Xenopus tropicalis: one gene and its partners. The protein of the gene in region 2 interacts with the protein of the main gene of each other region in a pairwise test. Links are inferred from orthologs where the notes say so. Each region holds a gene or a part of one and is shown on either strand. Other genes may lie near its edges. The genes, in order: nek6, trim23, trim29, lgals8, arhgef3.2, ube2i and gem.

The links.
Region 1: the proteins of trim23 (region 2) and nek6 interact in binary tests that used the Homo sapiens proteins (3 or more experiments, as listed by UniProt). The link is inferred for Xenopus tropicalis from reciprocal best matches to the Homo sapiens genes TRIM23 and NEK6.
Region 3: the proteins of trim23 (region 2) and trim29 interact in binary tests that used the Homo sapiens proteins (3 or more experiments, as listed by UniProt). The link is inferred for Xenopus tropicalis from reciprocal best matches to the Homo sapiens genes TRIM23 and TRIM29.
Region 4: the proteins of trim23 (region 2) and lgals8 interact in binary tests that used the Homo sapiens proteins (3 or more experiments, as listed by UniProt). The link is inferred for Xenopus tropicalis from reciprocal best matches to the Homo sapiens genes TRIM23 and LGALS8.
Region 5: the proteins of trim23 (region 2) and arhgef3.2 interact in binary tests that used the Homo sapiens proteins (3 or more experiments, as listed by UniProt). The link is inferred for Xenopus tropicalis from reciprocal best matches to the Homo sapiens genes TRIM23 and ARHGEF3.
Region 6: the proteins of trim23 (region 2) and ube2i interact in a two-hybrid assay, tested with the Homo sapiens proteins (3 studies listed by BioGRID and IntAct). The link is inferred for Xenopus tropicalis from reciprocal best matches to the Homo sapiens genes TRIM23 and UBE2I.
Region 7: the proteins of trim23 (region 2) and gem interact in binary tests that used the Homo sapiens proteins (3 or more experiments, as listed by UniProt). The two-hybrid records come from large-scale screens. The link is inferred for Xenopus tropicalis from reciprocal best matches to the Homo sapiens genes TRIM23 and GEM.

The regions. Positions count from the first base shown.
Region 1 is NC_030684.2:29,296,823-29,301,052, reverse strand, and holds the start of nek6 (serine/threonine-protein kinase Nek6), read left to right. Parts: upstream 1-1,430; 5' UTR 1,431-1,480; intron 1,481-4,230. UniProt on the Homo sapiens protein: Protein kinase which plays an important role in mitotic cell cycle progression. Required for chromosome segregation at metaphase-anaphase transition, robust mitotic spindle formation and cytokinesis.
Region 2 is NC_030677.2:187,794,819-187,798,318, forward strand, and holds part of trim23 (E3 ubiquitin-protein ligase TRIM23), read left to right. Parts: intron 1-231; coding exon 232-447; intron 448-1,357; coding exon 1,358-1,492; intron 1,493-2,105; coding exon 2,106-2,235; intron 2,236-3,035; coding exon 3,036-3,146; intron 3,147-3,500.
Region 3 is NC_030683.2:79,169,478-79,172,977, forward strand, and holds part of trim29 (tripartite motif-containing protein 29), read left to right. Parts: intron 1-1,772; coding exon 1,773-1,959; intron 1,960-3,500.
Region 4 is NC_030681.2:41,510,304-41,513,634, reverse strand, and holds part of lgals8 (galectin-8), read left to right. Parts: coding exon 1-30; intron 31-1,540; coding exon 1,541-1,597; intron 1,598-1,687; coding exon 1,688-1,714; intron 1,715-2,705; coding exon 2,706-2,794; intron 2,795-3,331.
Region 5 is NC_030680.2:148,936,559-148,940,058, forward strand, and holds part of arhgef3.2 (rho guanine nucleotide exchange factor 3), read left to right. Parts: intron 1-1,879; coding exon 1,880-2,050; intron 2,051-3,500. UniProt on the Homo sapiens protein: Acts as a guanine nucleotide exchange factor (GEF) for RhoA and RhoB GTPases.
Region 6 is NC_030685.2:28,777,798-28,782,002, forward strand, and holds the start of ube2i (SUMO-conjugating enzyme UBC9), read right to left. Parts: upstream 2,801-4,205; 5' UTR 2,792-2,800; coding exon 2,726-2,791; intron 2,561-2,725; coding exon 2,477-2,560; intron 1,413-2,476; coding exon 1,340-1,412; intron 1-1,339. UniProt on the Homo sapiens protein: Accepts the ubiquitin-like proteins SUMO1, SUMO2, SUMO3, SUMO4 and SUMO1P1/SUMO5 from the UBLE1A-UBLE1B E1 complex and catalyzes their covalent attachment to other proteins with the help of an E3 ligase such as RANBP2, CBX4 and ZNF451.
Region 7 is NC_030682.2:127,877,549-127,881,584, forward strand, and holds the start of gem (GTP-binding protein GEM), read right to left. Parts: upstream 2,801-4,036; 5' UTR 2,740-2,800; intron 826-2,739; 5' UTR 816-825; coding exon 476-815; intron 1-475. UniProt on the Homo sapiens protein: Could be a regulatory protein, possibly participating in receptor-mediated signal transduction at the plasma membrane. Has guanine nucleotide-binding activity but undetectable intrinsic GTPase activity.

The DNA of each region.
Region 1 (4,230 bases), on a different chromosome or scaffold from region 2:
GTTTGACAAGCAAAATAATCTTCACTGACACTATATAAATAATATAAATTATGTTTCCTTCAGTCTAGGAATTACACAATCACAGCAAGCAGGCAGCTGCCATTTTGTGGGCAGTTATTAAGGCAAGCAAATTCTAGTTTATGTGCCAGAATGGGGACCTAATGCCCATGCTCATGTACTGGCTACATAGTGAGATGGTGAAGAGGAAGGGGGAATGTGAGTGTCAAATAGAAAGTGAAGGCAGGGCCGGAACTAGGGGTAGGCAGATGAGGCAGCTGCCTAGGGCGCAACGATTGGGGGGTGCCAGGCAGAAGCCTCGCCTGCCTACCCCTAGTACCCGGTCAGCTGTTGTGCGCCGTGCTGCTTTGCATCGCACACTGCGCCGGGCCCCCCCCCAGGCGTGAACTGCGCATGCGCATCAAAACACATGGGGGGGTGCGTGATGTAGGTGCAGGGGCGAGGTAGCCGACCGGGTTGCCTAGGGGGCCCGGTCAGCTCGGCCCGCCCCTGAGTGAAGGTAATTGTCTGCCCTGCTTCTATGCCTAAGGCATAAGGGCGGGGAAGGCAATATATGATTGACAGCTGAGATTTCTAAATGCCTTTATAATGGGTATGTATGTGTTTAACGAATAAAGGAATTAGGGTTTCATGTTTACTGTGAAAAAAAACTTTTATTATACAATTTTTATGACTGAGTGACAGGTCCCCTTTAAAACTGCACTGTGTAGAAAAAAAAGTGTTGTTTTTATTTAGGAGTGATATTTTGAGGGAATGGATACAAAGCGAAAACAGGCAAAATTTCCACCGTCACCTCACGTTTTTTCAAATGTAGGTATGCTTTGCGCCCTACGTTGTAAATATGGTTGCCACCTTTTCTGGAAATAATACTGGTCTTCTTATATTTTAAACCGTCTTCCCTGTAAACATTTGCAGCAAACGATATCCAGATAGCAACTCTAGTAATAAATGACCCTTATAACCAGAGAACTGAAATGCATAATAAATTCCAGCTTTCAGTAACAATTTTACTTTAAGAGTCATTTCCTGTGGCCAGGTGGCAACCACAGCCAAAAGGGAAATTCAGACATTTCCACAAGGACTCCTACTTCAGCACTGTCACATTTCTCATGCAGTAGGAGCTTTTATTTGTATAAGTACCGGCTGCACATCCGCAAGTCAGCCCAACAACAAACTGCAGGAGTTCCTACTATGTGAGAAAGTTACTTCCAAACAATGAATTGGTAGTTGTTTTAAAATGGATTCTAATTGGCTACTTTTTATACACAGCCAATGGCGTCTTTTGTGCATGACAGACAGCCAATCAGGAGCCCTAACTCTAGGCCAATAGAAGTGCGCATTGCATCCTGCGCTTACTCCAGTCAGTCCGCTTCTCAGGGAGGCTTAAGCCTGTCATTGCTGCAGAGATGACACTGAGCGGGCAGCGCTAACAGGAAGCGGGAGCTTTGGGGCAGAGTTGAAGGTATGTCAGACCGACGCTACTTTCATAAAGTTACTTTAGCAACAGGTGGAACAGTGGGGATTCTGGAATGTCTTTTATCCCACTGTCCTCCCTGACAGAGAGCAGCTGTGTGCAATTCTGTGTATAGTAAGTTATCTCTCCCTGTTTCCTTTTCCCTACTTTCATCATACAAGAAGCGGAACTCTTATCTGCTTGCAAAGCTGAAGGGTCCCTAATAGTAAATCAAGTAAAAGCATTTCCTACTGTACTTTGCGCCTTTAAGTGTGATGTTAAAATGCGATGTGTGTGCGCTGCTCTGGCTATCAGCTTGGGCAACAGATGTGCTGGGCAGGGGGGTCATTTTCTGCAGAAAGTTAGGGGATTACTGACACTTTTCAGTTGATGTTTTGGTACTGGTACAAGTATGGGACTTGTTATCCAGAATGCTCAGGACCTGGGGTTTTCCAGATAAGGGTTCTTTCCGTAATTCGGATCTCCTACCTTAAATCTGCTAATAAAATTATTTAAACAGTAATTAAACCTAACAGGATTGTTCTGCCCCCAATAAGGGGTAATTATATCTTAGTTGGGATCAAGTACAGGTACTGTTTTATTATTACAGAGAAAAAGGAATCATTTAACCATTAAATAAACCCAATAGGGCTGTTCTGCCCCCAATAAGGGGTAATTATATCTTAGTTGGGATCAAGTACAGGTACTGTTTTATTATTATAGAGAAAAGGGAATCATTTAACCATTAAATAAACCCAATAGGGCTGTTCTGCCCCCAATAAGGGGTAATTATATCTTAGTTGGGATCAAGTACAGGTACTGTTTTATTATTACAGAGAAAAGGGAATCATTTAACCATTAAATAAACCCAATAGGGCTGTTCTGCCCCCAATAAGGGGTAATTATAACTTAGTTGGGATCAAGTACAGGTACTGTTTTATTATTACAGAGAAAAGGGAATCATTTAACCATGAAATAAACCCAATAGGGCTGTTCTGCCCCCAATAAGGGGTAATTATATCTTAGTTGGGATCAAGTACAGGTACTGTTTTATTATTACAGAGAAAAGGGAATCATTTAACCATGAAATAAACCCAATAGGGCTGTTCTGCCCCCAATAAGGGGTAATTATATCTTAGTTGGGATCAAGTACAGGTACTGTTTTATTATTACAGAGAAAAAGGAATCATTTAACCATTAAATAAACCCAATAGGGCTGTTCTGCCCCCAATAAGGGGTAATTATATCTTAGTTGGGATCAAGTACAGGTACTGTTTTATTATTACAGAGAAAAGGGAATTATTTAACCATTAAATAAACCCAATAGGGCTGTTCTGCCCCCAATAAGGGGTAATTATATCTTAGTTAGGATCAAGTACAGGTACTGTTTTATTATTACAGAGAAAAGGGAATCATTTAACCATGAAATAAACCCACTAGGGCTGTTCTGCCCCCAATAAGGGGTAATTATATCTTAGTTGGGATCAAATACAAGGTACTGTTTTATTATTAGAGAGAAAAAGGAAACCATTTTTAAAAATGTGAATTATGTGATTAAAATGGACGGCCTATCCGTAATTCGGAACTTTCTGCATAATGGGTTTCCAGATAAGGGGTCCAATACCTGTACCCTGTTGTGGCCAGTGTGGTCCTGAGGCCAATGTGTATTCAAGGGAATTGTACCCCTATGTTGCAATAGAAACTACGCTCAGTATTGCACCATGTTGGCATTTTTCACCAGGTAGAAAAATTTATGTCTTATTGTACAGTGCTGCAGAATATGTTGGCACTTTATAAATAAATGTTAATAATAATAAATAATAATGTTTAAAAGTGATTGCACCAATTTCTGTGTATACAGTATACTTGACAAGGACTAAGTTAGCCACCTTTTTGTGTATATTCCTATTTTATAGCTTTATTTATGTTAAATGTACACAGCTTTTTATGCATATACAACCCGGCACTGAGACTGTGTGTGCGCATTTATTCATGAGTATACACTGCTTTACAATGAGTTGGACAGAGTGCATACTGTCTGCACTGAGTATGTGCACAACTTTTTATGCATATTTACCTAACGCTAAATATGTGCCCAAATTACTGTCTTGCAAAGAGTTGGGCATTTCTTTTTCTGGCTGGTCCTGTGTCCTACTTGGCACTGAGTATCTGTGCAATTGTATTGGTGTCTTTGCTGTTTGGCACTCAATTGGGCACAGCTTTCTGTGCCCATACAAAGTGTTTGCACAATTTTCTCTGTACATACAGCTGGGTAATGAGTTTTGTGCTGCATTCTGTACTGCCTGGCACTGAGTGGCTGACAATTTTTAGGTGTACTTAATGTCTATTGCTGACTAGGCCACAGTGTTCTGGGTCTATACTGCCTGCAACTATTACTTTGATTTCTGTCTATAGTGCTGTTTTTGTCATAAGGGGAAGTGGAAAACTTGACTCATGTATCAAAAAGTTGCAAATTTCAAGTGAATATTTTCATTTACCTTAGACCAGTGGTTCTCAACCTTCCTAATTCCGCGACCCTTTAATACAGTTCCTCATGTTGTTGTGACCTCCAACCAAAAAATTATTCCCAAGACCATTGGAAATATGTGTTTTACGATGGTCTTAGGTGACCCCTGACCCACAGGTTGAGAACCACTGCCTTAGACCCTAGGCTGGTGCTTCTGTCTGGTGAAAAGTGGTGCAGTTTCTTTCATGATCCTCTGCCCTAGAGATCCTCTGCCCTATTACGATAGTGCTCA
Region 2 (3,500 bases):
AGATTTGGGGCCTCCAAAAAAAAGCACGGAGAAAAGCCAGTCAGGTCACTTCTTAAGGTTACCTGATGGTCTTTTCTGGCCACATACACAAATAGATGACAGACTGGCAACAAAATGTGCATTATTATTCTCTATGCATTGCCTTTAATATCACTAATGGCTTGTAGACACGCTTTTTGGGATATGCTTGGTTTAAACATCTCGCAATCCTTATTCTGTACCATTGAATAGGTTCCCGGAACCGCTGAGAATGCCCGGTCCTGTGTCAGAGCCTATTTTTCCGACCTACATGAAACACTTTGCCGCCAGGAAGAAATGGCCCTCAGTGTCGTTGATGCCCATGTGAGAGAACAGCTAATGTGGCTTCGGCAGCAGCAGGAAAACATGACTATTCTCTTGTCTGAAGTGTCAACTGCTTGTCTGCACTGCGAGAAGGCTCTCCAGCAGGTATCCAGCACTTGTGAGCATTCCCAGCATGCCACACCTTGCCTTTGCTAAAGGACTCTAAGGAAACACTTTTCTGCGTATTTACACTGATACATATGGTTTCTATATGTATCCCTTTTGGGCTTCACATTCAGTTGGATTTATAAAGAAGAGTCGTAACATTGGTTAGAACATACAGCATGCTAGCAGCTTGTCCAGAATACATGATAATATCACAAACATATAAGTGCTTATTTATCAAAAAGGAAAACTTGTTCGAATAAAAAAACTTGAATATCTTAGATTTTTCGAGTTTACAAACTCAAAAAAGTGAGATATGGCCTGGCTTTGCTTATGACTCCTATTGACTTCTATAGAAACTCGCAAGCTTTTAGATGGCTTTCGGGTTTCATGCACTTAATAAATACCAGACATTTGAAAAAATCGAACTCAACTGTTGTTAAATTACCCCCTAAAGGCTCTGGCACAGGGGGAGATTAGTCGCCTGCGAAAAGGTAAGTCGTCGGTGGGATGGCACACGCTGGGCAGGCGATTTTGGCAAATCGGCGAAGTTGCCTTGCGAGGCATTTTCGGTGATTTGCCGAAATCGTCTGCGCAGCGTGTGCCATCCCACCGGCGACTTACATTTTCGCAAGTGGGATGGTAGTTCGGGGAGATTAGTCGCCCGTGACAAAGGAGATTTGTTGCAGGCGACTAATCTCCCCGTGTGCCAGAGCCCTTAGAATTAGTTTAACACTCCAGCATTTTTATTTATTTTTAATAGTCCACAGAAGCAAGAGATTCAAAGAGAAAGAACTTTTGCTGTAATTTATGGCAATGGCTCGGCTAAAGCAATCAGTATGGTTTCTCCTAAAAAAATATATGTGTATATATAATATTAAAAGTGACACCCATTATTGCTGTGCCACAGGATGACTGCAGAGTGGTGCTTGCCAAGCAGGAGATTACGCGACTTTTAGAGACTTTACAGAAACAGCAGCAGCAGTTTACAGACCTTGCAGATCACATCCAACTGGACTCCAGTATCCCTGTCACATTCACAAAGGCAAGTTGTATCCTATAATGTCTTTGGGCAAACTAAACCTAACTTTGGGCATTCTTATTTCATATCATACGCTGCTGCAGTGTAAATATCTCTGCAGTAAATCACATCGACAGGGTTATATTTTGGAATGTTCTGTAGCATGATAGGGGAGGTTTTTACAGACTAAGGGTGAATATGGTGGTACACAAGCTGGAGGAATGCCAGACTGGGCTTTGGGATGATGATTTTGTTATGCTGAAAGTGAAAATGAGTGAATTCAAATAAAATGTGTCCTAAAGTGACTTAGCTCAAACACAGGCTTCAGTATAATAGAGAATGTGTGGGTAAATATTAGGATTCAAAGAAGATGTAAACTTTATAACTGCAAAATAGCTAAAAGTTTGGCTAGGCAGGTAGATGACTAGATTGCTCTCATCCTTCTACTTACCCCACCATATTGTTTGTTCAGAAGACTCGCATGTGATCATAAAAATCCATCAGAAAGAGGTGATTTGTATGCTGAAGCAGGACTACTTGTGTCTAGGCTTATGTTCTTGTCTGTTTTGTAATAGTAATGCAGGGACATGTTGATGCTTTACAAAATTGAAATAATATTTTGCCCTTTAATTTGCAGGATAATAGAGTTCATATTGGCCCAAAAATGGAAATTCGTGTTGTGACATTGGGATTAGATGGAGCAGGAAAAACCACCATTTTGTTTAAGCTAAAACAAGATGAGTTCATGCAACCCATCCCAACAATTGGTGCGTAGTGTCTCCTAGCTATTGGCTGGTCTCAAAACAAATATATATATCTAGATTCTGTAAATGACATGTACTAGGTTATAAACTTCCCTGTAGGGCAAATGTATAATAAGACCTTGTAGTTATTGTGTCTGTCTGTAAACCTGTGTGTAAGTGAAAGTCTTTCCCATCTGTATCTGTAACACACTTCTTCAGCAGTAACTGAACTACAGGACTTTCAGCAACTCCCTGCATATGTCAGGCAGCTTCCTATCAGGGGTGCATGAAAATCGCTATTTCCATAGTTACACTGTAATACACTTTCAGTGAGTTGTGTTTCTTGTACTACAATAGTATGAGCAGAGATATTTATGACCCTGATACCTAGTTACAATAATATTCTGAAATGCTTTTTGTTATTTGCAGCTATCTTTGTTCCCAGGGTTACTTATAATAACTAAGCTTTGACATGCTGCTATGGAGATCAGTGCCTCTAATGAAGTGGTTCCCATACTGTAGGGGTGGCCCACCTAGGGGGAACCAGATCCATGGCAGGGGGCCCACACTAAAGGACAGTTAGGCTTAGATTTGGGGAAGAATGGCTCTTTATTATTCTAAATAAATGATTATATATACTGTATATTTACCTTTAATGGCACATATCCCTGTGCTTGTGAAGCAAACCATTAACCATTCTGCTTGCTCTGTAGGGTGCACTGACTGCTGATACCTACCAGTGACAGGCTTTGCTTGCTACCACAGTTTCTAGTTGCACCTTACTGTTTCTTTTTGTGGTTTACAGAAATCTTATTTTTTTAAAGGTTTTAATGTGGAGACTGTCGAATACAAAAACCTGAAGTTTACAATTTGGGATGTTGGAGGCAAACACAAACTTAGGCCACTGTGGAAACATTATTACCTTAATACCCAAGGTAAGGAGGCCATGTGCTGCTAGGCACTGCAGTCTAATGCTGTTTGGCCTTTGGCACATGTGCTGTGCTACAGACCAGATTAACAGTTTGGGTTCCTAAATGTTTATAAAGCAGTGTTTAAGTAAGTTCCCTAAATGTCCCTTGAGACTATTGTCACTCTTAAGAAACTGGCTTCTTTTTATAGTCTCTCCTGTCAGCATCACTAAAGTACTAGCGTACTTTATACCCATGACCATTTGATTTATGGTTGCTATGGGGTGTTTCTGCCGTATTCTGCCTCTGGGCACCTCCTGTATTTAATGCTCTTTTTCAATTCTGTTGTTATGTTCCCAATAGAAAACCAATTCATGACAA
Region 3 (3,500 bases), on a different chromosome or scaffold from region 2:
ATCCCTTGCTAGTACACATTATCTTTAAGTTCAACAGGACCTTTGCGTGGGACTCAGCTAGTAAAAACTTTCATTTCTAAAAGAACTTGCTTCCTTTAGAGGGAATCACCCTTTTAATTTTTCACTCTGCCAAAATTACACTTTGCCCTCAAAGTAATCACTCTTTCAAATGTTACAGTTCTGGAAAATAGCCAACCATCTAGTTTCTCTTGTAAATAGATGCCCAATGTTTATTAATATTCCTCCCTTAAGGTTATTATCCAGTGCTTTTCCTAAATCATTTCATCTCATGGCATTTCAAAGCTGATACTCCAAAAGGTTAAAACAGATTGTATAAATATGTCGGTCTGCACTAGAAATGTGCAGCAAAGTCTCCCAGCTTGGTGCCTGAACACCTTGCTAAATCACAAAAATGCTATTACCTTTCAAATCATTTCTCAGGTGAAGAGATCAGCTGTGCTTTGTGGCTAAAAAGCCCCACAAAGGCCTGTACATAGTAACTGTATCTTCAGCAAAAATGAGCAAATCTCTTCTCTAGGAGTGAGATAAAGATCCAGTGAACCTAAACATCTGCTCCTTTGTAAAATGTAGAACAATTTGTTAAAAGCTATTCTTTTAGAGGAATACAAATGCACAATATGCACAGTTGGTGGCTTGCTTTATAATAGCTGCTAAGATTGAAAAATAACTTGTCTGAATCTCATTCTGCTTTAATTATATTTTTGGGGCACCACAGAAGGTACCAAGTTAATTTTAATTCAAATCCTTAGAAGTTTAAGAATAAGATGCATAACTGCCAGTGCTGTCCAACTTCTGTGGTACGGAGGGCCAGAATTTTTCTGGCCTAAATGGTGGAGGGCCAATAATGGAAGTCAATTTTGACCGCTCCCCGTTTTTAAATTGCACCCACTTCAAACCACACCCATAATATCACAAGAGCTTTTAAGACTATACCCACATTACTGGTGGTAGCACAGCAAGAACTCAAATGGTTGGTGCTTACTGTAGAGATATCAGCCTTCATTCATATGTGAAAGGATTATATTATGTCATATTAAAACATACATTTAAACCCTTATGCCTCCTCTTCCCCTGTGGATAGCATAGCAACCCCCAGCACATAATTATACACCTTAGGGACCATATAATGACTATTTCCAAATGTTAACAAACTCCCAAACAAAACCTGACCAAGTTCACCTCCCACAGGCAGCACAGGGCAGGCAGAGTATGGAACACACAGGCAGCATAGGGCAGGGAGAGTATGGCACACACATGCAGCATTGGGCAGGCAAAGTATGGCACACACAGACAGCATAGGGCAGGCATAGTATGCCACACACAGGCAGCATAGGGCAGGCAGAATACTCTGCCTTTGTGTGCCATACTATGTTTGCCCTACCCTGCCTGTGTGTGCCATACTATGCCTTAGGTGTGAACAATGCAGTGCTTGAACAATGCAGGGACTAAAATGTGTGAACAGTACAGGGGATTACATGTTTAAACAATTCAGGGGTTTACAGCCTGAATCTGAGGTGTGAAAAATGCAGGGGGCCAGTTAATCTCAGTACTGATTCTAATTAAACCTTACACAAAGGTAAGTAGGCACAGCAGCCACATCAAACACATCAAACACATAAAACAGCTGTTAGATTAGACAGGAGCTGATGTTGCAGGGTCTCGACAGGGCTTTATGATGGTCATTTTCTTCTTTCTCCCCAGTTTATAAAATTAGTGATGCTAATATTTTAAACATTTTTTTCTTTCTAAAGGAGTTTCAGATAGTGATCAGAAATGCACCCCCAATCCCTCCATTGCCTACCTATACAGTTACATTGGATGGAGAAAAGCTGACTCATGCCATGGGAAGTTTGAAAGAGGAACTAGCGGCAAACTGCAGGAAACATGTAGATAAATACAGCAAGAATGAGGCATCAAAGAATTTGGTTGAAAAGAATGGTAAGAACCCACGAGCACAAACCAGTAAATAAAGTCAAACGAGAGAAAACAGCAGATCCAAGCAAATACCCAGTAACTGGTATTATGCTGAGGGAAAACACCAGAGAAAGGACACGGTGCATTTTATATTTACTTTATGGATATGTTTAAAATATATTCCTTAGCATAAATATTAAATGCCCCGATCACCCTTGAACTCAATATTTCTTTAGTGCTTCCATTAATGTAGCTGTAAGGGTGTATATGTCAATACAATATTTTCTGGTAATGGGTTGCTGTTCCCTACTCATTAGGTACTACACTCTTTTAACTTCTCTGTTGCTCTCCAGTTGCAGCATATTTATGCTTATAAATATATAAACCCTCCTAATAAATACCAGTGGGAGAGTAAAGCGTACAGGCTTTGTGCCCTTGAACCACATAGACCTTTGTAGTTCATATTTAATGAATCCAGCTTTGTACAGTTCATGCTCATCAATTTGTGCGTGGAGCAGTGAAAATCTATTTTTTTGCCAGTAATAAACAGCTATTTAAATCTGCTGTTCTCAATTTCTCAGGATGTTGCACAGAACATAGGTGGCATGTGGGGGACTTAATTGCTTTTTCTGAAATTTATGTCAACGCTAGCAGTTATTTCCTTGGCATGCTGTTTCTTTATTAACCAAGTCACCTCCCTTTTTGGAAGACACCAGAAATGAAACAGATTTTTCATAGACTTTTGCAATATTGTTCTTGGAAATTGAACTGTGACCTGATTTGACCGTAGTGATTTTGCATAAATTTGCATCTATATACATTTGTTTATAGATATTATTTGTGTCATGAAATTCCATAAAAAAATTCCAATACAGCATTTAAAATAAAAACTGGCTAATTATAAGCTGAACTTACTTATAAAGTGTGGGCATTTCCAAAGCAATTTACAGAATATAATGTTTCATAAAAACAAATGACACTGAAAGTTGGAATAAAGTGAAACAAATAGACAAAAGGCACTAGAGGGGGCCAACTGACTAGAACAAAGTATACATGAAAATAAGAATGCTTGGTTTTGAGAAATTACACAGGGATATACAGCTCACACCCAAACAACTAGGCAGCTAGATTAATGTTTATGAATGAATAATGTTTACAGTGTTAAAATTATACTGTAAATTATATTCTTAGAAAATGTAACTTACTTAAATGGTGCCTATTTATGAAGTGTAGCAGCGGGATTCTCCGGTGGTTTCCACGCATATTTAAATCATCTCACTTTTGAGCTTTAAAAACTTTCCATGGGATGTTAAAGTACAGAGGTGCTAAAGTACAGGTATGGGATCAATTATCTATAAACCCATTAACCATCTATAGTCAGGCTACTATTTTTTTTGTAGCCTTACAGCATTTGGTTCCAAATTTTGGGGGGAAAAAATCAGCAGAAAACAGTAGAAACAGCAGCTCCCAAGCATTCAAGATAATACTACTGTACTACTTTTTGTGATAAAATATAGCTATGTAATAAAATGCAAACAAACTCCTATAATTTTAATAGCATTTAA
Region 4 (3,331 bases), on a different chromosome or scaffold from region 2:
ATTAATTCAATTGGATTTTTATCTCAACCAGTAAGTATGAATACATATATTTCCACCCATAGGAATGGGTTAATTGTGCCCATACCTGCATGTATTTGTGAAGCACATGTATGTAACTTATCCATTACCATTGTCCTTTGTCACCAGTATTCCCCCAAATAGCAGGTAATAAATGCAGTAGAAATAGAAAAATGCCCATGCAGTGGATGTAATGAGGTTTTACACCCTGTGTTTTAGCAACAGTGAGTGAATGCACATGGTTTCATGGTGGCTGATGCTTTCCTGACATGAATATAGCAGCCACCCGTAACACAGTTGTCCCCCATGCAGTATTTATTTGCATGTTTCCACCCTGGTTAAAGCCTCTCATTTTTGGTTTCAAGGTAATGATATATGTAGCATACAGCATGTAAAGATAATACCTCCTGTTTTGGGAAGGTTTTTACTGCATTTTATGCATTGTTGTGGGCTTTTTGGCTTCTTTTAGCCCATCTCAGCCTATTCTTTAGGGTTTGTCCATTTGGTTGGTTTTCAAGGCCTCCTTCTCGGAAGCCATGCTGCAGGACTTGTATTAATGAAATCGAAAAATATTGGAACAGGCTGTCTGCTATTGTTTTCCCTAACCTGAATGTGGGCCTTATTAGCTTGCACCTCTTGTAAGGGAAACAAATACAGGGTTATATGTGCACTTTAAGTCATAACTTGCTACTAAAAGTGAGGGGTCATTTACAATACCCTGGGGTGCAAGTGCTAGGGTGCTAAGGTTAGTGCTCACTTAAGAGCCTGAGTAAGCTGCCAGAAGGCACACCAAAGGCAGGCGGTAAGGTTGTGCAGGTTAGACCAGTGTTTTTCAACCTTTTTTGGGCAAAGGCACACTTGTTTCATGAAAAAAATCACGAGGCACACCACCATTAGAAAATGTTAAAAAATTTAACTCTGTGCCCAGCAGCAGTGCCCCCCTAGTACATTGGTGCCCAGCAGCAGTGCCCCCTAGTACATTGGTGCCAAGAGCAGTGCCCCCCTAGTACATTGGTGCCCAGCAGCAGTGCCCCCCTAGTACATTGGTGCCAAGAGCAGTGCCCCCCTAGTACATTGGTGCCCTGCCTACGGCACACCAGGCAACATCTCGCGGCACACTAGTGTGCCGCGGAACAGTGGTTGAAAAACGCTGGGTTAGACCATGCACATCCTGATAGGGGTGATAGGGGCAGGTGTATGTCTGTGTACTACCCTCTGCCTGCCCCTCTTGGTTTAAGATCTGCCTAACACAGGCAGCACTTGATTCAATCTGCAGGCTACAGGTCTCGGCTACTTACACAATGCACCATGCAGTGTACAAAGTGCATAGGTTGTTGCCTTTTCATGTACTTTGCATTTTCCATGGTTCATTGTAAATGACCCTTAAGATTTTCATTGTAATAATGTACAAAACCAGTTTTGTTACTGAGAAATATCATTTATTCTGTGCTTCATTTTGGCTTTTTGTGTGTATTGTATGCTTGCCATTTGCTTTTATGAAAATATTCTTCGTTCATTTTAGACAATTCTGGGTTCACAGCCAACATCTTTTGCTGTAAACAGCATAGAAGGAAATCAGGTAAAATAGTTTAGATATTAAAATAAAAGACAGGACTTCATATGCTGTTCTATCTCTCATGCTGTTGTTTTCTTTTTTAATTACAAACAGGGAAGATCAGAAAAGCTGCTGACCTTTGTAAGTGCTTTTGAGCAAGGAAATAACATTGGAATAAAATGTTTCGTAATGATCTCAAGCCATAACAATTTATTTATATATTAACCAAGAGCCATGAATATCCTGTTTCATGTTTATTTGCAAAGGACTGTCTGGGTGCCAGGTCCCCTTTAATGCATCCATTTTTGCTAAACAGCAGTTTTAGCTCTTTGTAACTAAGCCTAATGTGTAAAACATGTAACTCGGCCAATCACCACAGGTATGCTTGGAAAACAGACTTGGTTGAAGAAAAGCACACCCTGTTAACTGTTAGGAATGGGGAACTGTTATGATTTTAGGGGGTTGAGAGGCATTACAAATAATTTGTTATTAGAGAAAGTTTGGATTCTAAAAGTTTGTGCTAGTGCCAAATAGCCTGTAATATTAGTCACAGCATGTAGCTGTCCAACCTGTTAGGGAAATGTAGTTAACCAGTAACTAAATGTGATGGAAGTTGCAGTTACTGAGTCACCCAGACATAAAAAGCTGTATAATAAAAATTAAATGATAAAAAATGCAAAATAAACATGAAGCCCAAATTCTTTTTCTTATTAAATCATCCATACCTGTTATAAATATGTTAAAAGATCTGAGATATCCTATATTGCTTTTCCATTCAGCACTCCCTATATATCCCTCCAGTCCTCACATTCCCTCTCCCTCCTCACACCCTAAAATTGTGCAGCATGAAAATGGGCTTCAGGACCTCCATTTTCACACATTTTTCACAAGATTTGGGGGTGATGCCAAACTTGCATTAAGGGGGTAGTTCACCTTCAAATGAACATTCAGTATGTTCTTAGCAACTTTAACAAGATATAACAAGATATAAATCATTTTAGTTTAAGTAAAGTTTATTTTGCTCAATTTAATGATATTTAACATTTCACCAATAAACATGTAAGATGTGTTGATTTGTGCACAGTTCTAACAAACATACGTGACCCTAACATATTCTCTTTTTTTTATTTAGTCTGTTCCTTATACAGGATGCCTTCCTAGTGCTCTCATCCCTGGGAAGACTGTGGTCATTAAAGGAGAAGTACACAAGTATGCTAAGAGGTGAAACCCTTTTTATACAAATACTAAAGTAAATCAAAAACCTTTGTGAATCATGTGCATTACCACACATTTTCTTCACTTTCTTACTAATGGCACTTTACCTTTTATTCTGTCCACTTACCCACAACAATCTACCAGATGTATGTTTCCAGTATATAGTTTGTATTTTAAAGGGATCTGAGCCCAAATAGGAATTTGATCATTCTGCCTAATATTGTTTTATTAGCACACACTTTTTGAGGGTTTTTGGCACTCTGAGCTCACACACATTCACACACACACACACACACACATGTATATGATATATACATACACAAATATACTTTTTAAAATATTTTTGTATTTTGTGTTATTTTGCCCCCCCAAAAAAGTTTATTACACAGTGTTGCAGTTTCAGTTTCTCATTTTTTTTCTGCTGTAAGCAGTTAATTGTATTGTGTTTTGTCCTCTTTAACCCATTAATTTTCATTTGAGTTAATTTCACTATTGATCACTGTTCAATACAACAAATAAGAAAAAAACAAAACATTTTTGTTT
Region 5 (3,500 bases), on a different chromosome or scaffold from region 2:
CATCTTGCCCTGCTGTCTCCATCTTGCCCTACTGTCTCCATCTCGCCCTGCTGTCTCCATCTTGCCCTACTGTCTCGCCCTACCTGTTATACCACAATCTCACAGTCTATTTCCATCTGGTGTGCTGCGGGGCCCCTTTTTGGAACCCCTTTAGGCAGCTCGGCTAAGCATAACACTAGGATCGCAGCTGTGCCCTTATTATACACAATGAAATAATGTCTCATTTTGAGGCAGAAGTGGAAGCCAGAATTATTTGACTAAATCGCGCTGAGTGTTACACTGAGCTTTTCTCTGTGAAGAGGAAAAAGAAAAAAAATCCCATAAAGCCGCGGGTCCTGTGATGTGTTTAATTTGGAGTAGGACGTACACCTTGGTTGGCTTGTTTGACTCAAGTATCCCTGTGTGCCATATGGTTGTGTTTTGGGGGCCGTACAAAGCCGGCATTTATAGCAGAGCGGCCGGGGCAGGACGGCGCTGACCTCATCCCAGGCTTTGTTTAATGGGGAGAGCGGCCGATTGCGTGACAAGAACTTATATTCTCCATATTCTCAGTGGCTCGTAATGTTCCCACCTTCCCCAGCCCTGACCTCTCTGCTTGCCGTTCAGGGAACTGCCATTTAATCCCTTTCCACTGAAGTGGTCAAACGCCTCCCCCCCTGGAAGAAAGGGTTTATTGGTTACAGTTGTGAGCCCCCAGTGTACTCGGCAAATGATGTTTTGACTAGACGGCCCTGCAACGTCACGCACACAGCTGTTCTCTCTGGGCCCCGAACCATGGCTTTCTTTATACTAAGGATTTAGTGCAGACGTTTTCACAGCGAGCGATTTTCCCAAAGCTGTTTCCACTTACAATCGGCAGCCTGAGAATATGCGGCCGAGGGTTCCCTGAAGCTTATTTGCACAGGCCCGGCGTTGGGGAGAATCCTGCAAAATGACAGTGAGATATGGAACTGTGCGGCCCTGCGGCTGTTCTACTGTATTGGCTGAAAGTGCAGGGAGTTATAGTTTAGCAACAACACAAGGGTGGCATGGTTAGTATTGAACTGTAGCTGTTTGAGTGTCAAGGCGGAAGCCATATGGGGGAACTAAGGTCTTGGCCCAGTTTCATCTAAATACTAAATGGATCTGTGTTGACCAACTGAAGGCAAAAGTCTGTTTATAGAGAGCCCTATGCCCACCCCTGTCACACCCAATCACAATGTGACATATTAATGTGCCCACAGACTAATAAACCAATCACATCACTTATATTCCTCACTATACACATTGCAACAACATCCAACATGTGGCATTGTGGCCACATCCCCATTTAGTCCTGGCTCTGACCAGTATATCTGAGATGCTTTTCGATGTGGGAAGTAGGAGACTGTTACTATGGTCGACCAGGAAAAAAAGGCCCAAAACCAGGCGGCTCAATATCAATTCAAAAGGGTTTACTAAACCGCCTGGTTGAGCCGTCTGGTTTTGGGCCCTTTTTTCCTGGTCAACCATAGTAACAGTCTCCTACTTCCCACATTGAAAAGCACCTCAGATAAACTGGTCAGAGCCAGGACTAAATGGGGACATGGCCACGATGCGCCCAAAAACCACTACAGTGTTTATGCATTCCTTCTGGCCTTCCCTTTCCCTTCCTCTTTCTAATTGGGCAGACAATAAGCCTTCAGCTATTGGTAGACTGGGACCCTATTATACCACATATAAACATCTTGAGCCCCAACATAAACTCCAGCCCAGTCTACACTTGCATAATCAGAAACCATTAAAAAAGCAGTATATACTATATTACCATTTCAAAGCCATACTTAATATGCGACTGTAGCAGCCAATTATATGTTGCCTCATTATATGTGCTCACCCCATCACTGTTTTACGTTTCCAGCGCTCCATCAGTTTCCGAAGTGACAGCCGGCCTGATTTGTTCACCCCGCGTCCCTGGTCAAGAAATGCACCCCCTCCGATCACCAAGCGCCGAGACAGCAAGCTCTGGAGCGAGACCTTTGATGTCTGCGTCAATCAAGTGCTCACATCCCAAGAGATCAAGAGACAGGAGGTAGGCTTAGGCCCCTCACCGAATTACTTCTTGTTAAAACAAAAAAAATCTTGACATATTGTGAGTGGGTTTCTTAGCATGTGTCGGTGGCAGTCATTACATGGCAGCTGGAGAAAGGAATCGCACATCAATCAGTTTAAACCCCCAGTTCCCACCTAGTTTCCTCTTTCATCCAGTATAATACCATAAAAGCCACAAATAACCTGAAATATAATACATATGCATATAATCATGGTTTAGTGAGGTCACTAGAGTCAGATAACTGAATGAAATTTTAGTATTGTGAAGGAATATAAGGATATTAGAAGTTATGTTGGAATTTTGTGACCATTATATCAAATATTGGAAGAATACCCAAGAGTAGGGTTTACTAATGGTATCCAAGAACAAAAAAATACCCAAGAATAGGGCTCACCAGTAGTATCCAAGAAGGAAAGAACACCCAAGGTTCATCCAGTTCATCCAATGACATCCAGAATTGGAAGAATACCCAAGAGTAGGGCACACCATTGGTATCCAAGAACAACAGAATACCCAAGAGTAGGGCTTGATAATGGTATCTGACAACAAAAGAATACCCAAGAATAGGGCTCACCAAGGGTATCCAAGAACAAAATAATACCCAAGAGTACGGCTCATCAAGGGTATCCAAGAACAAAATAATACCCAAGAGTACGGCTCATCAAGGGTATCCAAGAACAAAAGAATACCCAAGAGTAGGGCTCACCAAGGGTATCCAAGAACAAAAGAATACCCAAGAATAGGGATCGCCAGTGGTATCCAAGAACAAAAGAATACTGAAGAGTAGAGCTCGCCAATGGTATCCAACAAGGGCAGAATACCCAAGACTAGGGTTCACCGATGATACCCAGAATTGGAAAAATGCCAAAGTATAATGCTCACCAAGAAGGGAAGAAAACCCACAAATAGGGCTCAACAGTGGTATCTGAGAATAGAATAATATCCCAGTATTTAAGGAAGGAAGAATACCCATGCCAATAGCAGATCTGCTTAGCAGATACCATTAGTGTGCAATATTCTTCAGTATACTTCTGTTCTTTACACAGTACCCTCGTCTAAATTGTTATGTTTCTTTATCCAGATTACTAGATTGATATTTGTGTACCTGCTATTAATATTCGGGGGGAATAACTAGCAGCCCCCCAGCAGCCGCTCATTGGGAGCTTGATCCCAAGTGTAAAACCCTTGCACCTTCTTCAAATGAAGTAGATTTCTTAGTTAAACAGGGGGGGGAAGTCCCTACTAGCAGGTTATCTGTGACCGTAAGGCACTGCTTTGTGGTGCGCCGGAGGAGTAAAGGAGAGGAAGTAGAAGGTAGGCACGCTATGGTCTGGTTTCCTGTAACTCAAAGCGAGATGAGCCTGTTCTTCAGTTATCACACAGGAAGCGAGAGCAGCATTTTTTAGGTGTTAACATGTACCTGTGAATG
Region 6 (4,205 bases), on a different chromosome or scaffold from region 2:
AGGCACAGGTTACATAGCAGATAACAGATAAGCTCTGTAGAATACAATAGTGTTTTATCTGTTATCTGCTATGTGCCTGTGCCTTTTCTCCTTTGAATGGCTGCCCCCATGGCTACACAGCAGCTTATTTATATAAATTATAGTAGACTTTCTGAAGTAAACACACAACTTTTACCAGTGCAGGGCAGCAGCACATTATATTTTAGTTACTTTTATACACTTTCATTTTTTGGTGTTACTGTTCCTTTAAAAGAAGACAAGGAGAAAAATAAGATAAGAATTGAATACCAGTCAGTAGTGTCTGAAGAACATACTGCAAGCAAACGACCATGCACAATAAATTGAGATTGATGACAAAAAAACCAAACATTAATTAGTTTGAAATTAGCTGGAGTTTGAAATGGTAGGAGGAATTATTTGCAAAGCGCACAGTGTAATAGTATTACAGAATAAACAAAATCATGATAATATCCCTTTAAGTAGAAAAAGGACATGGGATCAAGGGAGCAAATTTTGAGCAGTGCTGACACACTTCAGAATTTTAATGTCTTTATGCCCATGTTCATAATGTGACGGAGCCAGTTAGGAAAGGGGACTTATAATATTATATATATATATATATATTACAGCCATTTCTTACACTTGCTGTCACATATCCATAGGCGGTCTGATACCGCCGCCGATGCGTGTCGCATCGGTGCCTGACTGTGCTCGTTCCTGGTGAGTAGCCGATGCTGGCGCTGCTCGTCACTTTCCTATGCATAAAGCAGTTGTATCCAGGCACGTCTGAGCATTGCCGCATGTCTGAATCTGCACGTATGATGCCGCGCGTGCAGGTGGCCCACGGAGGAAGGGGTGTAGGTGCGCGCGCAGCGATCGCATTTCACCAGCATCTATGTACCGTATATATGCGAGTATGGGGCATGGGGCAGTCGGTTCGGGGACCACATCAACGAGCCGATGCGGTCCCCGATCCGACTGGATTTTCTAACCTGGCCGATTGAGATCTGGCCAATTTCAGGCCAGATATCGGTCGGCCAGGCCGCTCGGTTCTGCCCATACACGGGCCGATTAGCTGCCGAATCTTTAGTGTCAGCATACTTTTGACCATGTAGTTTACTCAGAGAGCCTTGAATCTATTATTCACCAGCACAAAAAAACAAAAACAGAGCAATTTCTAAGGTAAAGCATCATGGGAATGAGCCTTCAGAGCATTACAGTGCCAATCTTTTATCTCCATTTCCTTGGGATAGGCAATCATCACCCTGCCCTATACACATGCTTCTAACAAGAGAAGCACTGGTTTTAAAGGAAGGGATTTAGGAATTAAGGCACTTACATTTAGGAGGTGAGGAGGGATAATCATCCTTAAAAAGCATCCGTAATTTAAATAAGCCACCTTCCCAAGGGGTCTGCAAGAAGAAGAAAAAATGAAATTGCAGATATAAGTTATGGGTAGAATCACTGGTTTATAAACAGATTTAATATAGTCCATAACCAGGACATTAAACTATTTTTTTTCTCTCCAAGAGACAATATTCTTCATAGGTCACCAATTTCACTCTAGTCTTTTTTAAAATATTTTTGCAGGTACTATGGTGACAGATTGCAAAAAAAACAAACCATTCCTGCTCCTGGTAAGGAGGATTGGCTGGAGGAGCCATGAAGTGAAATTGCATGTTATTGCAGTCTGTAGTGTTTATTACAGCTCACACAGCCACTAGAGAGTTTGAACCCTTCATCTCCCCTGAGGAATATGTAGTCACACAGCAGATGGGTAGTTGTGGCTTATTTAAAAGGGAAACATTTGTATAAATAGAGTAAATCATGTTTAAATGACCAAGCGTCATTTTAGCACCAAACACAGAAGCTATTTTGCTGCCCTGCTCAGATGGGTTCCATTAAGCCCAGTGCAGCAAACCTAACTGCTGCCAATCACAATTCACCTCACTCCACTTGCAGACCCTGGGGCATTTCAGTCCCCAAAGTCAATAAACAGGAGGTTTAGTGGATATTTTTAAGCTCCATGGGCTGGATGTGGTCCTTCAAGGGATTTTAATGGCCTAGGATTCATCCACAGCCATTATAATCTGTCCTCAGACATGTAGCATAGTGCATACGTGTTAGTTCAGTGCATGAAAGGTTGTCCTTTTACACCTAAACAGCATTTACAAGCTGGTAATGTGATCAGATGTAGGATATAAAACTGCCCCCCCTGCATGTTTCCTTCGAGTGTTCCATAGGGTTGCATGTGTCACAGCCCCTGGGTGCCAGGCAATGGTGCATCCTGTAACCAAGCAAAGTGCAATACCTGCTAACTGCAGCTACACCTGAATGTAAGTGTGTTAAGGTTGTACATTGGTTATGCAAGGTTGCAGAAGGTTGCTTCACTTATTTGGCTATTTTATGGTATCAAGGGAGCACTGCTAGGTAGAAATTCTGTACTGCTGTTTCAGGGAAGGATTCTAACACTTACCCCTTTCTTGCCTGGAATAGCACATTCCCAGTTCATCAAATTCATTGTGCCATCTGGATTTTTCGTTGGTACTGCCACAAAACCCTTAAAATAGATAAGAAAAAAACCCCCAAAGTATTAGTTTTTAAGTTGTTTGCATCTTAAAAGGGCAGGGCAGTTTAACAATTTAGGATTTTTTTTTTTAAACTACTTATACTATTTCTTGAAGAGAACACTGTTCTGGTTAGTTTTTCACTTTCTTGAACTTACAAAAGGATGGTCTTTTCTCCACGCTTTTCTCTCCTGTGCAAGTCTGCTCAGGGCTATGCCAGACATTTCAGGGTTCCTGCAGAAAAGAAATTAATACTGGTGAAATAACAGTATACATAACCAAACATAGTTTAAACAGAAAATAAGCAAACTTACTGCAATGTATCCAAAAACTTGCATGACAGTGACACCTAGTGGTTGAACTCTAGTAATCTGAATATGAAACGTATATGCTTATTACCGAGGCAGTAAAGAGTCAAAAGCATTAATGCGTCCTGTAAAGGCAGTAAAACCACCACTTTTCCACATTAGTGTAAACATATATTATTCTTAGAGCAACTTTAAAAGGTAAATGTCATTTTGTAGAGTTTTGTTAACACTGGAGTATTTGTATTCTTACCTCATGGGGCAAAATTACGGTTTGTGACCATTGCAGCATAATATAAATGTAACCCTTTATATTATACGTACCACAGATATCAGGATAATAATCCAAGATACACCCTACTTGCACATCATAAACACTGTACAAGGAACCCTGCAATGCTTCCCAGGCTGTTTGGTATAACAGTCTAAGAGCGCATATAAAAGGCATATTAGTGCGGTAAGCGCAAATCCAAATGTGTAAATGGCAGCTCCTGGCCCAGCATTGAGTAGGCTGTCACAGTTAAGTCCCCCACCCACAAGGATTTTCCTTCATATTGAGATTTACATCAACACATTTCCAATGCATAACTAATATTAAATTCTGAATTCTGTCACTTGGTGACGCATGTACCAAAAGGAATCACCCAGAAAACTCATCTGGAGCCGTCAATAATTGCCACTCCCATCCTCTGAGGTCAAAACTCACACAAAGGTGTGGCACTGCTTGCTGCAGCACACACTGGGTAATGCTCTTCCTATGGTTATGGGTGCTGGCACTGGCAGCAGCGGGCTATGCCAAAGCAAGCATTTCAGAGTAGAGGCTGCCTGTCACTGCAAAGAGTTTGCTGTGCTCTGCTATGGCAACTGGACAGTTTTTGGACCACAAGTGCCAAGTTCAGCGGTGGCATGGTATGCCAGCAGAGAAAACCAACCTGTTGCCTTCCTTTCCTTTACGTGTGCGCTGACAGGTAGATTTGGGCATGAAAATTAATACTTTAGCAATTCCATGCTGCACGCGTGCCGGCAAGCTGACCCCATGCCCCCCCCCCCTCCCTCCCTGAGAAGCCCCAGAATTTGGGGACCACTAAACTACAACATTATTATTAGGATGGTTGTAGTAAATAGCAGGATGTATGGCAAGGATGGAAAAGTCTCAAAATAACAGCTTGCAAGTCACTAAGCAATGATATCGCAAATTTATTGGGTAAACTTTAGGGCATACAGGCTATGAACATTATACCAACAGCGCCCCCTGCTGTCCCAGCCATTACCGACTCCATGACCAAGCCACTCACAAGAATTCATTAGCCAGCACATACAGTGGCTTCTGTTC
Region 7 (4,036 bases), on a different chromosome or scaffold from region 2:
AGAGACCAGACTGTTTAGACCATATAACAAAAACTTTCCAAATCCAGTATTCCAGTTCAGCTACCTCATTCAAGCAGGCTATCACTCCTGTGCTCCTGTTGTAGCACTAATTGCATGTAGACATCATATAAGATAATGGAGGACACCTGACACTGCAGGGCTTTGCTGCAATTAGTGTTTATTAGTGTGTTCCACTACATGTTTTGGGCAAAGCCCTTTATCAAGTGAAACAAGACAAGTATAACAAGACAGCATAGGGCAGTTTTAGTGGTGGTTGGTGTCCATAGCAAAAGTAGATCTGTCCAAACTTAGTAGTTAGTAGTAAGAACAGTTTTCAGACATCCAGATCTGCTGGGAGTTTTGTGCAAATTGGGCGTCCAATATTTGGCCATATTACATGGGAACTCAAACAACATTATATTTAAAGAAGGCTAGCTGTTGGCTGGTTTGTTGGATGCATTAATTGTGACCTTACCTGCTAACATATCGCAGTCACCATCCACAGAATCAGGCACCCCTGCAAATATATTAGCCAGAGTAGACTTCCCAACTCCTTGCTCCCCAATCAGCACCACCCGGTAGTAGGTACTCCCAGACTCAGAAGAGATGACGGAGTCGGAAGAGTCAGATGACCAGCTTCTCCGGCAGTACTCCGCTGAGTTATTGATGCTTGTGTTATTGGCGGTGTATTTGCGGGTGAGGTTAGAGTGCTGCTTTTTCTGAGCGTGAATGTTCTTTGCATCAGCCGGGATGCTCCATCGCTGCTGTACATTGGCCGTGGTGTTGCTGCGACGCATGGTCACATTCAAAGTCATCGTTCTCTGGCTGTGGGGGACAATGTAACAAAACTTGTAAAAGTTGCAGCACTTTTCTAGCAAAAAAAAACCAGATGTCAATGCAGGACTCAATGCTGGAGAAGCTCTATTAACTGTCTATGACAGTATTCCTTTAAGATAAGTGCTTCTCAGCCTGCAGCCCATCAGTAGTTGGTGAGCTACAACTACCAGCAACTCCCTTTGGCTGGTGGGTGCTGGAATTGTAGTTTAACAACAATTATAGTGCAAATTCTGGCTGCCATTTTTGATAAAATATTTTAGAAGTATTTGTGTGTTTAGCAACCCACCGCAAGTCTGGGACAGCCAGAACACAAATCTTATTGCAGGGATTTGGATCCCCAAACTATTGAGTCTCCAGGATCTTGTGCTACAAAGCTGCCCCTCAAAGAATTCCAGCTTTGTCAGTACCCAGGATCACCACTAGTGGCCGCACACGTGTTCAATAAAAGGTCCATAAATTCACAGTGTTTAAATCAACAAATCAGCTCAGTCAAGGAGGTTAGGCTTCTATTGTCTAAACATGGCTTGCTGTGGCATCTGAGAGTCGCGCTTTGCTGCTGGGGTGCAAATTACACTGCTCCAATCGACTACCATGTTTAGTAAGGTTATTTGCGCAGACCTAGCAGCACCCCAGAAACTCATTCCGAATTTTTGCAGTTACATATAGAATAATAAACAGTTTGCAGTTATTTGGATAGCAGCTCTATCAATCATTATGGCATGCAAAGATTTGTTGTCTTTAAGCCCAACTTTCATATAAAATGTTATTAAAACAATGCAAAAATAATTCTTTAAAATATTTTTGGGGGGTGGCTGTTACACCTAAATATGCAATGTGCTTTTATTGTCACTATTATAGCTTTAATTTTCCTTTTACGAACAGTACACAATACAGGTATGGGACCTATTATCCAGAATGCTCGGGACCTGGGGCTTTCTGAATAAAGGATTGTTCTGTAATTTGGATCTCCATGACTTAAAGCTACTAAAAAATAATTTTAACATTAAATAAACCCAATAGGATTGTTTTGCCCCCATTAAGGATAAATGATATCTTAGTTGGGACCAAGTACAAGGTACTGTTTTATTATTACAGAGAAAAATGAACCATTAATCATCATCAATCATTAATCATCAAAATCATTTTTAAAAGTTTGAATTATTAGATTAAAATGGGAGCAGAATTTTCTGTAATTTGGAGTTTTCTAGATAATGGGTTTCTGGATAATGGATCCCATACCTGTATATACAATTTGCTCTAATTAAACTGTATGCCAAGCACATGAAACCTATTCCTTTCCCAACAAATTACACTTTAAAGTGCCACAATTCTGTGCATCATAATAAGACCCCTGTATTAATGATTCTAATGCATGCTGTCAATTGATAGTACAGGTATAGGACCCATTATCCAGAATGCTCGGGACCAAGGGTATTCCGGATAAGGGGTCTTTCCGTAATTTGGATCTCAATGCCTTAAGTCTACTAAAAAATCAATAAAACATTAATTAAACCCAATAGGATTGTTTTGCATCCAATAAGGATTAATTATATCTTAGTTGGAATCAATTACAAGGTACTGTTTTATTTCTACATAGAAAAAGGAAATCAGTTTTAAAATTCTGAATTATTTGCTTAAAATGGAGTCTATGGGAGATGGGCATTCCGTAATTCGGAGCTTTCTGGATAACGGGTTTCCGGATAAGGGGGTCCGATACCTGTACTATATACACACAATGATAATGATCGAGGGAGTAATTATGAATATTATGAACATTTAGTTGGTGTGTGCCATTCCATATAACTATTGAGATTGGTTTGGCTTTGTTCATAGCAGAAGTGTATCTGATCACTATACTCCACAGGAATTCATCTATAAATGAGCATTTTGGGAAGCACTTACCTTTATTGCTTGTCCCCTTATACTCTCCCCCTGAGCCTGGAGTCCTGAGTGTAGAATAGAGAGATCTCTCAGGGAATAGAATAGTTGGATAAAGTGCTGCTTGTCCGTTTCCCTGACTTTCTCTAATTCTTTCTCAGCTCCTCTGGTTTATATTAAGCTCGGTGGCTGGGAGACAGGGCTTTTCCGTGATGTCACGATGAGCATTACACCAGCCCACTGCAGCAGGAGAGTGGCCGGGGAGGCTGGAGCGGAACCTCCTGTGCACTCACACAGGCAGCAAGAAATCATTTAGCCACTAGAACTCCACTCATTCATTTTCCAGTAAAATTATATGGTCCAGAATGGCAGCAAAGCAACTTGGAAATGAATTACAGTGAATTAAGGAACAAATAGAATGGGGCAATACATTAGCTGTGTGGGGGTGGTACAATAATGGGGTGTCCTAAATCCTACTCTGTCTTTATTACCTGTGCAGGGGTCCATAGAGAGTCCAGCCATGTTTAGTTCGAGTACAGGTATGGGACCTGTTATCCAGGATCCTAAAGTCCTGGTTTTTTCTAGCTAAGGAATGTTTCTGTAATTTGGATCTCCAAAAAAAAAAGCATTTAAACATTAAATAAACCCAATAGGGGTAGTAATTCTTTAAAATATTTTGGGGGTGGCTGTTACATTAAAAGCACATTGCGTATTTGGCTATGGGACTTATTATCCAGAATGCTCGGGACCTGGGGTTTTTTGGATAATGGATTGTTCTGTAATTTGTATCTCCATAACTTGAGTCTACTAAAAAAAATCATTTTAACGTAAAATAAACCCAACAGGATTGTTTTGCCTCCAATAAGGATTAATTATATCTTAATTGGGATGAAGTACAGGTACTGTTTTATTATTACAGAGAAAAAGGAAATATGTTTTACAATTTTGAATTATTTTATTAAAATGGAGTCTATGGGAGACAACCTTACCGTAATTCGGAGATTTCTGGATAATGGGTTTCCATATAACAGATCCTATACCTGTATAAAAAATACACTACCTGGTGGGCAATTTGTAAGTGATGTAGCCACAGAGGATTTACTCTTTATGCTGCTCTAGGCCATGCTGTTGTACATTTAAATATACATTATGACTACATTGCTTCTTTGGGGCTGATTTATTATTATTTGTGCTTGATTTTTGCAGCAAAATAAATTATAATCATGTTCTTTTTCTCGACTGGGGTTTCACAATTGCAAAAATGCTGCAAGTTAGACCTCCTTGATGTAAATAATGACAGATATTTAGGCATGCCAACATT